Linked DNA regions of Daphnia pulex. The protein of the gene in region 2 binds, or shares a complex with, the protein of the main gene of each other region. Links are inferred from orthologs where the notes say so. Each region holds a gene or a part of one and is shown on either strand. Other genes may lie near its edges.

Region 1 (4,042 bases), on a different chromosome or scaffold from region 2:
GATTTTGCTCTGCTTTAAAGTCAACGAACAAATATATAATTTCACGATTTTGCAATCACAGGCTATTTCAGAGACGACATTTCTTTGCCATACTGAACTGATTTAATTACGTATTATCGCACGCAATGACCCCACAAGCACTCCCACGACTGGCTTGTTGAATCCTTGGACCGTGAACAGACTGAAAAAAGTTGTGATTATATAAAACCTTAAATTTCTAGCTCTTATTTTTACGTTATCGGACCACTTTTTGAATGTTGAATTCAAGCTAATGCGCAATCGATAAAAATTGCAATTAACTCTGATCAAACAAGAATTCAGTTATGGTCATAACTTGCGTTAATATCCCCTTCCAGAGTCAACGTCACATAACATTCGTCCAAATCATTGTTTTACTATCTATTCATTGCATTCGGCAATAAGTTCACATTTTATATGGTACCATTATGAGATCAGTCGTAAGATAACATGATTTGGCAAGATTTGATTTCTTGACAGACTTGTTATTCAACTGGACTGTAGAGTGAGCATGATTTAAAAACACACTTATTCGACGTTTTAAAAATGAGAAGAGATCTATCTCTTAGTTAAAGTAAAAACATCCATCTTGAAAGCGGATCTCGCTAGCGGATGGCGGGAGTTGTGATGAGCAAAACAGATCGAGGCTCGTCCGGTCAAGACCACAATCACTCAAACTTTCCTTACCGAATGCAGAAGTGGCGGCGGTCGAACTTTGGAATGATGCGAAGGGCTTGGTGCTGGATAGCGTAGTCCAGACAGCCGTGAAATCGCTGCTTTGCAGCAGTTTCATTAGCGATACCATCGAGTGGGGTAGGATCGGACCCTGAACTTCGATGGAGTAGAGATTTTCTCCGTCTTGCTTCAGAAAACCTTGTCGGGCCTTGGGTAGAAAAACAATATTGTGAAATGGTAGATTTCGAAATGCTTTGACACTCGGTTACCTTGAGGGGTCGGAGTGTGGCCTGATGGAAAGCGACGGGACTGAATAGAGTTGGAGGAATTCCAGTCAATGGGCCAGTGCTGGACAGACACAGTTTGCTGTTTAGAAGCCAGTTGAACAGTCCCTGCGTCTCAACACCTTCGATCAAAAGGAGCGAGTCCGCATAGGTGCCTTGGCTTGTTCCTTGCCCTCCATCCTGCAACCTTTCAGCCTCCCTACGAAAATGTTAACGACATTTGAATTTATGTTGAAAATCTGCAAATCATTAATTAGTCTCACAATTTTGATCTGAGATTTGAATGCAGGCCGATATCGTTGATCCAGTCAGCATCATCTTCGTCACAATCTTCGTCATCAAGATCGCCAACTTTGTCAGCTTCTTTGGTTTCATCATCTTCATCATTATTCACAGGGTTCGTTTGATCTTGACCACTTTTCTTCAACGGCATCGAGTATGAGATATCTATATTAAAATATCAAGATGAAAATGAAATTCTAGACACTTTCAAAAGTTTCTTCTTGTTTTTGTTTTCTTGTACTCGAATCGGAAACCACGATCGTAATACGATCTCCGGATGGTAACTGATACGTTCCAAGAAATCAAGTTTTATAAAGTCTTCTAGTACTTTCTACGAATTTTCTCTCTAGAAATCTCATTCAATTATGGAATATTCTTGATTCAAAGTTTTGCATAGTAAAAAGAAGAATAAAAAAGCAAACGTAATAGCAAACTAACGCTAAGAAAAAAAAAGAAAAAATGGATGTGTCATTCAATCCTGGCACACATGTGATTGATTTTATCCAATGAACTAAATATCGCTGTCCTTAATACCTTCTCGTCGCAAAACTTCTCGCATCCCACGCGTGGTAGGGGTTAATAGAGCATGGATTTCTGCAACTCCTCCTATTCCAGCAGCTCGAAAGAGAACGGTGAATTGATGAGTACAGACATAGAAGAATGGGCATTGCCTCGCGCGCAATAGTCCGAAAAGAGAGCGAAAGCTTTCACACCAGTCGTTGATCAGGCAATTTGACACGCTCGAGTCCATGCCGATTTGGACAGAGCTGGTGGAAGTGATAGGGGCTCGTGTGTCCCGAGGGAATAAAGATAACCAAGGCAGCCAAGGATATTGCCACAACAAGCAGCATTGATGAAATTGCGCATTTGTTGACGTGTCCAACGTGCTCCACTCGTCGGATTTGAGAGAGCTGACGCATCTCACGAAACCTGTGATTCCAGAAGCCTCCTCGGACGTCTGCGACGAAAAGCTGAATCATAAAATCTGGTATTTTTGTTGCTTGATATAGATAAACATACTTTGAGAGTAGAGCTGAAGGCAAAAGGTGATTTGGAGGTGAAGCGTACCCTGGTCTTTAAGGACCAATCAACAGGACACTGATCAACTTTCTGGCAAACAGGTGTTACTGCAGTGAATATTGACAGAGCTTGCGGTAGTTCCACAGCCAACTCTTTATTGGTATCAGCTTTTACATTGGGGGCATTTAACATGCTCATGAAATCTACATTGGCACTTGCATTTCTCTGGTCATCTTGAGTGACTGTAAGAAGTTTTGGCCTCTTGGCTGGGGAGCGTCTGTCAAGATGTGCAACAGTTAGACATTTTTTGACGAGAAAATACCATCATTTTACACTATACCTGAAAGGATTCTTTCTCTTTACAGAGGCAGTTGCTGACGAGGACGATGTGGGGGCCAAGGCTTCGTCATTATCTAAATTATTTGTTGCTGTCGTGGTGGATGCATGACTGAATCGTGCTTGGAGGGCTTTTTTCTTATCCCTCATCTGCCTCATAACTTCGTCAGGCTTTTTCCAAACAGACCCTGACATCTTTATTTAGTTTATTACCACAGATTTATAAGACTATTATTCAACACTTGATTGATATCTTGTCGGACGTTTCGTTCTACGAGTTGTGGACAAGAATTGAACACGAGCGCCATTTCTTCTGCTAAGTTCAGTCATCTGACGAAAGGCGGCTTCAAGCATTTTCAAAATCACCAAATAAAAATTTAATTAAAAGCAGCGGAAGCTTTAAGATATGATAGGAGACTGAAATAAATTAAAATAAATTTTTTTATGCGTTTTTACTTTTTAGTATTTCAATGGTTTGGGCGATGCGTATTTCATATCGGAATCTTATCCCCTAATAGCAGACAACTTCCCGTTGGAAATGATTTCACGTTTCATGACAAACACGAAAGTACGAGGCCTTAACGTTAAAAAAAGTTTAAGTTAAACTCGTGGTATTCCTTTGTCTCTGCTCAGCTCAGATCCAAAAGTATCTGAAAACCATATTCTGTGTCTGTATGCCTATACACTTTTGATATCCTGTTTAAAATTGAATTGAATGCATTTCTTTGTGTTTCCTAGGAGGTCATATGGATCTTTGAAGTCTTGTAAACGTATTACAAGTTTTTTTTTCGTAAGAAAAGGACAACGTCGAATTAATCGAAGGCTTTTCAATATCGTTTAATACTATGGACGAATCTGATTATAACAATGAGACTGGATGGTAAATCTGCTTTCCCATGCTTTCTATACAAACAATGTCAGTGATTCCTTACCATCAGTCACAGGAGAAAACGTCAACTCAGTGATGGTGATCCGGATGCATGTGACTTCATGCCACTGTCTAAAAGAATCAACAACCTGCATTTAAATGGTAGTAATTTGAACTCGGAAACCACACCATCATACACTGTAAGTTTTCTAGGTCATGGAGTACAATCATTGGCTAAATTCATATTCTGTGTTGTTTGCTTTAGCCTACTGGATCTTCCATCTGTGAATGCCGTCTGCAACCAAGCACTTCCAGCAGTGTGATACAATGTTCCTTGTGCAACCCCAATCTCTATGGGATCACTCGGCAAGCACTTCCTCTTCCAGACCTGCTGAACATTCCCAATGAAATGTCACGTGAAAGAACTCCCCAGCATCAACAGTTTATTCACGATGACACCTATTCACCAGACATGGATGTTCACTCCAACCCTCACTACTACACGCCCAACAAGCTGCTGTTTGATTTGCACATTGAGCGTGTCAAGAGGCACGGTATA
Region 2 (4,270 bases):
TATTAGTGTACTTTAATATCGAGTCTCTCAGGTAAGGTTTAAACACACAAATTCTGTGCCACTCAGTCTTCTGGTTGACATCTCCTTTAGGAAAACAAATCAGTTTAAAATATTTTGAATTAAATTTCAATTAACAAACCATTGGGATAACTATAGTTTGAGTTTGTAGCCAAAGAAAATGTAACAACTGGATGTTCCAAAGAACCACGTTTAACAGGATTTGAGCCAACTCTACCCAACAGAGTCACCGAATTAATAGCTACATAAAAGAACATTAGAACCTAAATACTATATAAATGAATGTAATCTTTTAAAACTAACTTTTTTCCACACCAACTGTAAGAGGGGTAGTTTCGCCAGTGTTGTTGTTTGTAAGGTGAGTTCTCCATTCATCAGAATCAACTTGTTTGCGACATGACAAATATATTTGTCGACTCAACGCAAATCTAGACATATTTGAAATGAAACGACTTCCTGATTTCAACGTTAACATTTCTTTTCTTTCTTATTTATCTGGAGAGACGAAGAGAAAAACTGTATTTTATTTTTTTAAGATTACACTTGTGTTAAAAAAAATTTCTGGATTTTGAGGAGTTTGTTAATTATTACCAATAACAATGTTGCCACATAAAACAATCATTCCATACCAGATCCATAAAAATCAAAAAAAAATTTCTAAATTAATAATCTATATCTTTTTTATGAGTTTGAAGATAGCTATGATTGATAATGATAAAACGAGTTCTCATTACCGCAGTCATTGTATTTATCGATAAAAATTGAAAATGTGCCCTTATTAACCAGGAGTATGGAGAAATGGTTGCCACTTGCCAATGATCATGTTAAATTTCCTATAAGGGGATTCGACGGGAAGCTACTTTTTTACTAGCGATTTTGTATGGAGGTCGAGTTGAATCAACGCCATCTAAGACGTTGCGACATATATACAGTCAACTCGACCTTTGAAATGGCCCCTTTGAATGTCCATATGTCGCAACAGCCTAGATGGCGTTGATTCAAAGAGGCCACCGTATCATGTCCATACAAATGTCGCTAGTAAAAAAGTAGCTTCCCGTTGAATCTCCTTATGGGAAATTTAACATGGTCATTGGCAACATCTCTCCATACTCCTGTCCATACCCATGCCTTAACCTGATTTAATACCCAGGACATAACGTGACCTGGGTTATTTTACATGATGCAAGCCTCAAGCCAGTCAAGCGGGACGGTAAATTTTTTTTAAACGCCGATCAGGCTCCAACCCCATTAAGGAAAACAACCGCTTAATAATTTGACTGATATAAGAAGAAATCCGTCCCAAAAGGTCCGGGCCACAGCGCCAATGGGATCGGGATTCGGGATACACTCTGGGGATACATAAAAAAAAAAAAAAATGAAAGCGAAGAACTACATAAATATGGCAGCAGAGCGCTGTTTGTTAGGGCTCCGTTTCGCGCCCATTTCTGCGCAGAACAATAAACCAAGTAACTTGTCAAACAGTGTTAAGCACACAGCACAGGGAGTCAGTTATTAACATAAACCGATTCTGTTAGGCAGTTATCCATCTACGATTTCCTTTTAACATGGCTCTGAATCCGGTAGATTATAACGCGCAAAAGGGTAAATTAATATCTTATTTCATTTCTATATTGGAATTATTTTTTTTTTTGTTTTAGAAAAAATTAAAACGTTTTTCGCCGAATTTCACAAAGTGGGAAAAAACGGTAAAGACTTCAAATATGCCACTCAGTTAACTAGAATTGCTCACCGTGAGCAGGTAAAGTAAAAATACATTCGCAATCGTAAATTTATTTTAAAACAAGATTGTTGTAGGTTGAACTAGTGATTGATTTGGAAGATGTTGCTGAGTTTGATGATGAATTAGCAGAACAGATAGTTGACAATGGTAGACGATACACTTTGCTGTTTGGGGAAGTTGTTCAAGAAATGCTACCCAACTATAAAGAGCATGATGTTGAAGCAAAGGATGCCCTTGATGTCTACATTAATCATCGCCTGATAGTTGAAAATCAGCACCAAAATGATGAACCAAATAGACTGCACAAGTATCCTCCAGAATTGATGCGCAGATTGTAATCTACACTAATATTTTCTTGAAATAATTAATGTCTTCTGAAGCAATCATTTTTTTTTAGTGAGGTTTATTTTAAATCTCCTTCTTTGCAGAAGGCTATACCCATTAGAGAAGTAAAAGCTGTTCATATAGGTAGGCAATTTATTATTCAGCTTAGTGATAGGCTTCTAAAAAAGTTTTCTGTACACATTCATTCTAGGTAAACTAGTGACAGTTCGTGGCATAGTAACACGTTGCACTGAAGTGAAACCAATGATGCAGGTAGCAACATATACATGTGACCAGTGTGGTGCTGAAACTTATCAACCTGTAATTTCAAAGAAGCTTACACTGATGTTATTTTCCTCTAATTCTAAATATGGTATTTTCTCTAGATTAATTCAACATCTTTTATGCCGCTGTTGATGTGTCCCACTGATGATTGCAAAGTGAATAAGAGTGGTGGTCGCTTGTATCTTCAAACTCGTGGCTCTAAATTTGTCAAGTTTCAAGAACTGAAGATACAGGAACATGTAATCTGATATTTAAAAAAAAACTTAAACTTTTACTCATAATGTAACCATTTTGTTTTGTCAAAAGAGTGATCAAGTGCCGGTTGGCCACGTACCGCGGTGCTTGACCGTCTATTGTCGGGGCGAAACAACGCGTTTGTCTCAACCTGGAGATCATGTCAGCATTACAGGCATTTTCCTTCCTATGTTGCGAGCAGGTTTTCGTCAACAAATGCAAGGACTTCTTTCCGAAGCTTATGTCGAAGCACATGTAAATATGTTAGAACTCCATTCTGAATAGTGTTCATTAGCTCTTAACTGTTTGCTGACAGAGAGTAGTTAGGTTAAACAAAACCGAAGATGACGAAATGAGCATGGAAACTCTGACAGAAGAAGAACTGCGTCAAATCGGCGAAGAAGACTTTTACGAGAAGCTTGCTACAAGCATCGCACCAGAGATTTACGGACACGAAGACGTTAAGAAAGCGCTGTTGTTGTTGCTTGTTGGTGGAATTGATCGAAAACCCAATGGCATGAAAATTCGTGGAACGATGTAAGGCTAGTTTCTTTTTATATAAATGCATGTTTTCTAAAAAAAATCATGGAATCATAACAGAATAGGAATAGTATTAAATTAATCTAATTATTTTTATTTATCTTACGTCACAGCAATATTTGTCTAATGGGAGATCCTGGTGTTGCAAAGTCACAGCTACTGAAGTTCATCGATCGTCTAGCCCCAAGAAGTATTTTAAATAGCCCAAAATGTACGTTTGAAAACAATAATAATAATTTAAAAAAAAAAATAGGTCAGTATACCACAGGACGTGGATCTTCTGGTGTCGGTTTGACTGCTGCCGTGCTGAAAGATCCAGTTACGGGTGAAATGACCCTAGAAGGAGGAGCGCTTGTGTTGGCTGATCAGGGTGTCTGTTGCATTGATGAGTTTGACAAAATGCCTGAGTCTGATCGTACGGCTATCCACGAAGTCATGGAACAACAAACTATTTCAATAGCCAAAGTAAATTCATCAAAACACTAATTTAAAATTAAGTTTTTATTTAACTTACCATTAATATTTCAGGCAGGAATCATGACTACACTTAATGCCCGTGTTTCCATACTAGCAGCTGCCAATCCCGCTTATGGTCGATATAACCCAAAAAAATCTGTTGAACATAATATTCAATTACCAGCAGCCCTTCTTTCGCGTTTTGACGTTTTATGGTTGATTCAAGATCGCTCAGACAGAGAGAATGACTTAAGGTGTAACTTTGGTTGTCTTAATTCCTTATTGAGTTTGATCTGTTACTTATTTGCCTTCTTACCCATTGAATCATTTGGCAGACTGGCACGACATATTACGTATGTTCATCAGCACTACTGTCAACCTCCTACACGCGTGCAGCCGCTTGATATGAAACTAATGAGACGGTATATTGCTCTCTGTCGTCAAAAACAGCCTTCTGTCCCAGAACATTTGACCGACTACATCGTCAGTATGGACACATCAGATTTTCCTATTAATACTAGTTGAATAATTAAAAATATTTTATAATAGGCGCTTATGTTGAAATGCGTAAAGAAGCAAGAAATAACAAAGACATGACATTCACCTCGGCCCGTAATTTATTGGGTATTCTGCGTTTATCAACAGCATTGGTAATTATACTTATGTTATTTA

The links. Proteins that work in one complex are often made in the same cells at the same time.
Region 1: DNA replication licensing factor mcm7-like (region 2) and protein downstream neighbor of son homolog share a complex: the UniProt entries of both Homo sapiens proteins name them as parts of the replisome complex. The link is inferred for Daphnia pulex from reciprocal best matches to the Homo sapiens genes MCM7 and DONSON.

The regions. Positions count from the first base shown.
Region 1 is NC_060027.1:2,499,412-2,503,453, forward strand, and holds protein downstream neighbor of son homolog, read right to left. Parts: upstream 2,811-4,042; coding exon 2,620-2,810; intron 2,557-2,619; coding exon 2,280-2,556; intron 2,248-2,279; exon of another isoform or gene 2,218-2,247; coding exon 1,794-2,217; intron 1,425-1,793; coding exon 1,241-1,424; exon of another isoform or gene 1,240-1,240; intron 1,177-1,239; coding exon 963-1,176; intron 902-962; coding exon 584-901; 3' UTR 385-583; downstream 1-384. Other genes in the region: uncharacterized protein LOC124208003, read left to right, coding at 3,461-3,495, 3,554-3,683, 3,749-4,042. UniProt on the Homo sapiens protein: Replisome component that maintains genome stability by protecting stalled or damaged replication forks.
Region 2 is NC_060025.1:5,067,354-5,071,623, reverse strand, and holds the start of DNA replication licensing factor mcm7-like, read left to right. Parts: upstream 1-1,467; 5' UTR 1,468-1,583; coding exon 1,584-1,620; intron 1,621-1,676; coding exon 1,677-1,777; intron 1,778-1,833; coding exon 1,834-2,093; intron 2,094-2,156; coding exon 2,157-2,227; intron 2,228-2,294; coding exon 2,295-2,404; intron 2,405-2,469; coding exon 2,470-2,607; intron 2,608-2,674; coding exon 2,675-2,857; intron 2,858-2,918; coding exon 2,919-3,139; intron 3,140-3,255; coding exon 3,256-3,332; intron 3,333-3,395; coding exon 3,396-3,607; intron 3,608-3,670; coding exon 3,671-4,085; intron 4,086-4,147; coding exon 4,148-4,248; intron 4,249-4,270. Other genes in the region: single-stranded DNA-binding protein, mitochondrial-like, read right to left, coding at 1-84, 140-259, 322-493. UniProt on the Homo sapiens protein: Acts as a component of the MCM2-7 complex (MCM complex) which is the replicative helicase essential for 'once per cell cycle' DNA replication initiation and elongation in eukaryotic cells.